2 linked regions of the Nothobranchius furzeri genome follow. Each later gene encodes a partner of the first gene's protein in a complex. Links are inferred from orthologs where the notes say so. Each region holds a gene or a part of one and is shown on either strand. Other genes may lie near its edges. The genes, in order: prpf4 and lsm3.

What was found.
Region 2: prpf4 (region 1) and lsm3 share a complex: the UniProt entries of both Homo sapiens proteins name them as parts of the precatalytic spliceosome. The link is inferred for Nothobranchius furzeri from reciprocal best matches to the Homo sapiens genes PRPF4 and LSM3.

Annotation. Positions count from the first base shown.
Region 1 is NC_091746.1:69,549,137-69,552,959, reverse strand, and holds part of prpf4 (U4/U6 small nuclear ribonucleoprotein Prp4), read left to right. Parts: intron 1-1,208; coding exon 1,209-1,395; intron 1,396-1,511; coding exon 1,512-1,599; intron 1,600-3,823. UniProt on the Homo sapiens protein: Plays a role in pre-mRNA splicing as component of the U4/U6-U5 tri-snRNP complex that is involved in spliceosome assembly, and as component of the precatalytic spliceosome (spliceosome B complex).
Region 2 is NC_091743.1:73,197,356-73,201,928, reverse strand, and holds lsm3 (U6 snRNA-associated Sm-like protein LSm3), read left to right. Parts: upstream 1-1,564; 5' UTR 1,565-1,630; coding exon 1,631-1,651; intron 1,652-2,852; coding exon 2,853-2,963; intron 2,964-3,409; coding exon 3,410-3,505; intron 3,506-3,853; coding exon 3,854-3,934; 3' UTR 3,935-4,443; downstream 4,444-4,573. UniProt on the Homo sapiens protein: Plays a role in pre-mRNA splicing as component of the U4/U6-U5 tri-snRNP complex that is involved in spliceosome assembly, and as component of the precatalytic spliceosome (spliceosome B complex).

The sequences.
Region 1 (3,823 bases):
TCCCTTTACCAATCCAGCCACGGGCCCATCCATCTGGCCCATCAAGACTCATTTCATCAGTCCATAAAACCTTGCATGCCGGACACCCACTCATGCTCCCCATACACACCCTATTCACTCTGGTCCCGGTACTGCTGCACATAGGGTACAACCATCACCGGTTACCAGAGTTTGACCCTTTCTGCTGGGGTGCTGATGAGCAGGCTCCCCCGCCCAATGCTGAGCACAGCAACCCACCACCCCAGACCCCAACCAGACGGCCAGATCTCCCTCCTAGCCTCCAGCCCCAGGAAGCCAAGTGACAACAGAGGTGTGCTAAGACCCCTAGTCTCCCTCCGCCTGCTCCAATATGGTTTTAGTGAGTGTTGATGAGGTGTATTCCATGGCTGTGGTGAGCGGGCAGTGCGGGCATCATCTGGCCTATGCCAGCTGATGCCACCACCACCTCACTTGCACCCACAGCCCTTAGTGTCTAAGTGCAGTTTAAAATTGGAAGTGGGCACCGGCACTCGGGATGAGGCCAAGAAATCCCCCTGCCAAATGCTGTTGAATGTGCTCACTCCCAAGGCCCTAAGTGTGTGTTTGCGTGGAATGTCGTCGGTGGAAGTGTTTAAGGTGCAAATAAAATTAAGGGGCAGGTTGCCACAGGAATGTGGAAATGGGGTCCATACCTGCACTCCCTGACTTGTCCACCCCTCAAGGTCCTATGTGCATGTTTGTGTGATGATGTGAGGGAGCAGGAGGAGAGAAATGTGTGGGGATGGGGAGGCCCCTAGATAACTTTAACCTTCAATAACTTCAAAAACCGTGGTCAGAATAGCATTAAACTTGGTCTGTGTCATGACACCACCAGTGTGGTAAATATAGAGTATCCCCTAGTGGTGAGATGTGTAATTTATTGGTGGGCTCAGAGGAGATGCTGAGTCAGGGTGAAGTGCAGACGAGGAGACCGTTCGCAGTTTCTGATGTTGGGGTCAACGTTTCTGTTCCGCGGATGTGCCCGGGTACACCGGGCCGCAGAGCTGCGAGGGCCGAACGACGCTGCTTGCAGCTTTAATTACTTTTTGTTCTTGTGAAGCGCCTTGTGATTTTTATCTTGAGAGGTGCAATGTAAAAGACTAATTCTTCTTCTTCTACTACATACAAGTGTCATTAATTATAAAAAAAGGTTTTGCTTAAATCACGACTTTTCTCGTTATTTTGTTTAGGAGAGACTCTGGAGATGGAAGAGCGGGTCAGTGAGCGGCAGCAGGAGGTGCTTGCAGAGTTTGAGCGGCGCAGACGAGCACGGCAGATCACTGTGTCCACCGATGACACCGAAGTTAAGGCCGGCCTCCGAGCACTAGGCGAGCCAATTACATTGTTTGGAGAGGGACCAGCTGACCGTCGCGAGAGGTGGGACAAATAACATTTGTGCATTTGTTTGATAATCTGACTGTTTCGTGGTCAGCTTACACTCAGCCAATCAAATTGTTTGTTTACAAGCTGATTTGAGTCTTATGTTGTTTTAGACTGCGCAGTGTTCTGTCCATTGTTGGACCTGATGCGCTAAAAAAGTCCAGGAAGGATGAAGAGAGAGTCAAAAGGTCACATGATGAGGTAAGCAGTTATACAAGTACTATGTAGTACCTTTCAGTACTTTGTCTCTCCCACATTTTCAGACCATTCACCTGTTTTATGTGATTGAATTTTGCCTTGCCCTCCTCCTGTGGCTGATGTTGGCATGCTTTAAATGCAGAAAGAGTTAAGAGTTTGTTGAGCTTTTAACTTTAGAGGAAGAGAGGTTGAACTCAATGTCTCTCAACGCTGAGGACTTTAATTTTGATTCCATCAGCAGGAATATTTTGGATATAGGTGTGTGTGTGTGCGTGTGGGTGTGTGTGTCCCAAGTCTAGGAAACCTAGACAAAGAAGGGAGCCTTGGCTCTGTGAGACCACTCAGGCATGTAGGTCTGAATGTAGGACTGCAGAAAGATGGCGAAAAAAGGATCATCTTCAGTATTCGAGCATTATTTTTAGAACTTCCCTGATGAGACATTTCAGCCTGGATTTAGGGCTGGACACAGCACTGAGTCTGCACTGTTGATGGTAGGGCTGGGCGATATGGCCTAAAATCAATATCACGATATATTGAGGATTTCACCTTGATAACGATAAATGGACGATAACCACAGGTATGCACAGAAACAACAGTTGTCCACTAGATGGGGCTGTTGCATGTATTACGTTAAGTCACATTTTTATGTGACTCAAGGTAGGGCTGGGCGATATGAACCAAAACTTATATCTCAATATATTTTTGATGAATTCCGATATACGATATATATCGATATTTTTTTCTCCTGTAAAACATTTACAAGTTAACTCTCTTCAAGCTGTCTTGAGAAATTATACATAAATCAGTATATTAAATGCATAAAAATGTATTTATTCTTGTCAAACTTTAACCTTAGCGCCTATTCTCTGGTACAGCTGTCTGTTAGAATACACACACCCACACACATGCCTGAAACCGCATTTCTTCTTGGTAGATTTTATGCGTAGCGATCTTTAATTCATATCAAAAGTATTTTTTTACATTTTAGGGTTTGCGTACCTGTTTGCAGAATTTTCTTGAATTTCTTTTAATACCATATCAAATTTATTAATAAAATCATTTAATAACAGCATGGCAGCCGACCAAAGTGCTGTACAAATTAAAACACAGTACACATATCAATAAAGACATAATCAACAATAAAACCACAAAAAAGCATAAAACATAGTCTGTAATAAAACACATTGCAACAATTATAGTTCATGGGTGTTGAAATGCCAGATCATAAAAGTAGGCTTTAAGTGATGAGTTAACATCAGTGAGGGACGGCGCCAGTCGCACGAGCGTTCCAGAGGGTTGGTGCAGCAAACACAAAAGCATGTCTCATAGAGGGAACACAAAGCAACAGACAGTCAGCCGACCTGCACATAATCAACCAGGTCTGCTAGTTAAGCTAGCGCTCATGGCTTTGAAAACGAAGGTTAAAATCTTAAACTTCATGGGGAAAAACTAAGATCTGACCACAGCATTAATCTGGTAGGCCATTGAAAGGTCAGAGCCCAATTTGACCCCAAGGCTGGTCACAAACTGCTTCATGTCATAGCTGAGAGCAGCCAAAGCAGAGAGCAAGTGTGAAGCTTTGAAGATCCATGAGACTTTCCTCAGATTTTCACTAATTTGGGTTTAGAAAATTGTCAGATAGTCAGCTCTTCACCTTTGTCAGGCATTGGCTGTGAGAGCATTTGGGTTGTTTAAGGTCAGGTAGATCTGACAATCATCTGCATACAAATGATAGCTTAGGCCAGGGGTGTCAACTCATTTTAGCTCAGGGGCTACACTGAGGAAAATCTAGTCCCAAGTGGGCCGGACCGGTAAATTAAAAACAACTTTAGATTGTTTTCTTTGTTTTAATACAATCGATATAAAACATAGCTGGAGCCCGAGGACAGTGTATCCAAAGTAGTACAAGTACAACATCACTATTAATAAACCACCTGATGTGTACTTGAACATTAGAAAAACATTTTTTTTTAATAAACATTCCTTAGTGATTCAAAGAGCTTTCAGATCACATGGCTAGATCAGTTTCATGGTAAATGGCCTGTATTTGATATAGCGCCTTCTAGAGTCCTGGAACCCCTCAAGGCACTTTACAACAAAACCAGTCATTCACCCATTCACACACACATTCACACACTGGTGGGGATGAGCTACAATGTAGCCACAGCTGCCCTGGGGCGCACTGACAGAGGCAAGGCTGCCGAGCACTGGCACCACCGGTCCCTCC
Region 2 (4,573 bases), on another chromosome or scaffold:
TAGTACTGTGTCAGAGGCATCTGTGGAGAGAAAGTAAATAACCTTGGAGGAATAGCTCCTTCATCACGTTACAATGCTTAACTTTCTCACAGCACTGTTGAACTTTTTTATAGAAATCTGCTGAACTTCAGATCACTGAGCCAGAAGGGCATGGAGCTTGCAGAGCAGCCCACCAGTTTCCATGCTCCTGTCCTGTCACCAGACAATGAGTCATACATAAGGGTTTGGATAAAAATAAATAAATAAATAAATCATGTGTCCCAAACTGCACCTGCACACATTTTCTAATGAATGGTTAAAAGCAATAAATCAGTGGAGAAAAACAAGTGATTCTGAAATGCACTGCCAAGTTCTTGCAACTTCGACATCTCATGGGGCTTAAAGGAGATGTACAGTTGGATGTCATCTGCATAAGATGGTTGGAGATTTCTTTGAAGGAGCTCAGGATGTGCTGAAGAGGGAGCAGATAGAGGAGGAAGAGTAGAGCGCCCAGCACAGAACCTTGTGGGACACCATGGGCGAGGGAGGTGGTGGAGGACCCAAACTTGGAGACGGCCACAGAGAAGCACCTAACCCTAACCCTAACCCTCAGACAGATAAGAGGAGAACCACTTCAGAGCAGATCCTGATATGCCTACCCAGTCTCTCAGCAAAGCTGCTGACACACAACCTTCTCCAGAAGTTTCAAATTGAAAAGGAGAATAGAGATTGGCCTGTAATTGTCTGCACAGAGACATCAGATTCTGGTTTCTTCAGGATCGGTTTACTGACTGCAGCTTTTAATGCAGTTGGAACCACTCCAGTGCTCAGGCTGCCGTTAATGATCAGACGCAGAGACTGACCCAAACACGGAAAGGCCTCCTTCCACAGACGAGGTGGCAAAACATCGAGTGGAGAGCTAGACGACTTCTGCCCTGAGACAAGCTTAGACAACTCAGAATAAGAGAGTATTAAAATAGCTCAGGGTGGACTGTATTGGAGTAACTGGATCAGGGTCTGTAGATGAACCAAAAATAGCAGCTCTAATGGCAGAGACTTTGCTAGTGAAAAAGTTGTGAAAGTCATCACATTCTCCAGCAGCAGTAGAAAAAATGATGCCAGAGTCCTGGTACACTGAGACAGAGTTAAGCGTTTTATGGAGAATTTTTGAATTGTTACAGTTTGTATCAATGATGTCAGCAAAATAGCCCGTTCTAGCGACCCTCACAGCATCAAGATCAAGATACTCTAAACATCTAATGGGAGACCTGTAGGTCTATGCCCGTTTATGTGCAGCCTACAGTTACAACAACCGGCGTACAATTTGAAAACAGATCAAGCGGGATTACTAGTAACTTTACAAGCCTACCTCATGGAATTCTATATTTAAATATATTTTAATTTATTTTGTTAAATTATATTTATATTTTAATTATCATGCCATATATTGTATCAGCTTTTGTGAAAAAGCTTGATAAAATGCGTTTTTTAGTTGGCTAAGCACCTTCCTAAGTAGAAATTAATGCAGTGGGGGCGAATGGAGACCCAACTAAGATGGCGGTCGGCCACTACGGCAGCCGTCCACGGGGCGTCTACGTATATATGACTGCGACCTCAGAGCCCATTGAGGCACTAGGCCAGTTAAAGCATCATGGCGGATGAAGTGGAGCAGGTTCGTTTGGTTGCCGTGTTTATACACTTTTGTTCGTTTTAGCGTCTGTGCAGTTGCTTGACTTCGTCGCGCATTATTAACTTTATGCATTTCTTTAATCTAAGGATACAAGCGTAGCATTTTGCTAATTGCTAACACGGTTTAATTGTGTTTAGGCCTGTGAAACCGGTTAGCCCACATTCACCTAGCGTTCAGCTCATCCTAAAATTATCAGTAAGCGCGTAAAAGTTACCAGATTCTCACAAATGAAAGATTAATGAATGACTTTTCCCGTTATGTTTGTCTAGCAAATTGGACAAATAATTAATATTGAGTTTTCTTTAACTATTGTGTTTAGTTATTAACTTTAGTAAGTAACGAGTCTCAACAAACTGTTTGGATCAAAGTTTATGATTTAAAATGAATATTTCTAAGCTGTAATGTGCAATTTAATTGAAAATAAAGATATTAGTGACAAAGATACCATAGTGTTAATAAGTCATGAGACGTTTAATTGGTTTGATCAGTACTTCTGCACACTCTCTTTACATTTCCTATCAGATGGTTTGTTTTCTAAGCCCTGGTCTTTAAAGGCAAGCCTTAACAAAGCTGTACAGACACAACAAAAATGAATAAATAACAATATAAAGACTCAGCTAAACAATGTTTGGATATTAGTGATGCATCGATATAAATTTTTGGACCGATACTGATATCCGATATTAAGATCACTGTTATGGCCGATAACCGATATTTGCCGATACCGATATACACTGACATTAATGCTTCCAAAATCTGCAGATTTTATATAGAATGAAAATTATTAAAGCTGGATTTACATTATTGTGTACACACAACACACACATTTACGCTTCTGAGGTGATTACAATCACTGTCACATGATTAAACAAATACACATCACCCCCCTCACCCTCTGAAACTGATAAACAAATGGAGACGAGATAGAAAAATTAATATCGGCCCGGTTTTATTTATGGGACCAATACCGATATGTTTAAAAATGACTAACATCGGCCGATACCGATATTGATGCCGATATATTGTCCATCCCTATTGGATATTTTTAATCTAGATTTTTAAAAACATTTCCGGTGAGTGTAAAAAAACCGACTAGTTTTGTTTTTAAATGTTTGCTATTTGATGAATATGCCAATAAAAAATGGAATCCGTACATTGATGATTATTTTAATGTGTTCCACAGCAACCACCTACCAACACGGTGGAGGAGCCTCTCGATTTGATCAGGCTCAGTCTGGATGAGCGGATCTACGTGAAGATGAGGAATGACCGGGAGCTCCGCGGTCGACTACATGTACGACACACACACACACACACACACACACACACGGTTCAGAAGATCCAGTTTTTTCACAATACTTGCTGATAAAACAGGTAAAAAAAATAAGACTGAAAATTCTAATGTCAGTAAAACAACTTAAAAGGTGAAACTAATCTATGAGACAGACTCATTCCACGCAAACCCAGATATTTCAGCCTTTATTTGTGATGATTATGGCATTCAGCTGATGAAAACCCCACATTCATAATCTCAGACAATTAGAATATTGTGTTCAGGTAAATATTCTAGTGTCAGACTTTTATCAGCTGATGAATCCAGAACACCTGCAGAGGGTTCCTGAGCCTGTAGATGGTCTCTCCATCTGAGCTTGATTACTGTCATAAATGGACTTTTGCACCATATTCTCTTTTGTCCAGTTTCACCTGTATGTCCTAACTAATGTTTGCCATCTGGTCCAGGCGTATGACCAACACTTAAATATGATCCTGGGGGATGTGGAGGAGACGGTGACAACAGTGGAGATTGATGAGGAGACGTATGAAGAACTTTATAAGGTCAGTTTTTATGAACAAACATAGAAAAACCTCTCTAGCCACATTTCTACTGAACAGCTTTTGTTTTGGACTCTTTGCTGTGTTTGCTTAGTGGCAAACTTGTGCCACTGTTGGGTGATGCTTAAAGATCCATCAGATGCAGAAACGTTAAACGATGTTAACTTGTCACTTTAACATAACGCTGAATAGATCTGCAGAAAGTAATAAAACAGAATTTTAAGATTCTACGAGGTTTCATTATTGTTCATGATCAGAAACTCAAGTTTTATTTAAATTTGACGGTACTTTAGTGAGTATTTAAATAAAATATCTGTTATTTAAATGTTTTTACTGTATTTGTTTCTTTAGTCTACCAAGAGGAACATCCCCATGTTGTTTGTCAGAGGAGACGGCGTTGTCCTCGTAGCTCCGCCTCTCCGAGTCGGCTAAGCCCCCCATGCCTGACAGGATGATGTAACTGCTTCTGGGAAGTGTCCATTTTTGTAGGAGAGTGTTATAAATCTTCATTTTCCTTATGCTAGACTGTTATTTCATCTTTAAATTTCATGTGAATCAGAGGCTCTTCTCTAGGGCAAAATGTCTGAGGGGGGAAAAACCCAGGAAGTATGATGTGAGGACACTTTTTTTTATTTTTTGACACATTCTGGGATTGTAAGAATCGGCCTCAGTAGATACTATTATTTTTAGTAGAAAAACATTTTTCTGAATCTTATCAGTTCCGATTGAGTCATTCCAGTGTTTATAAAGACTCGGGTCCCCTTGTGAGCGAAATGTTTGTTAAATTGCTCAACTTTTATGTTGATTTTTAGCTAAATGATTGCATTTGAGTCCCAGAACATTCTTTTTCTTTTACATGACGTTAGTGTTTTATGATTTAGTCATGCTCAGGTTTGAAAATTTTGTTTTTATGTGGTTGAATAAAAAGTGAAAATAAGAAAGTTATACTTTTTATTTAATTTTTTTTTATTCAACAGTTTTTGGCATACAGAGTCGTAGAGGCTAAAGCCTACAGGTATTTCACATTAAAAGTGTAGAAGACTGAAAATATTTTTTAATGAATATTTCTGA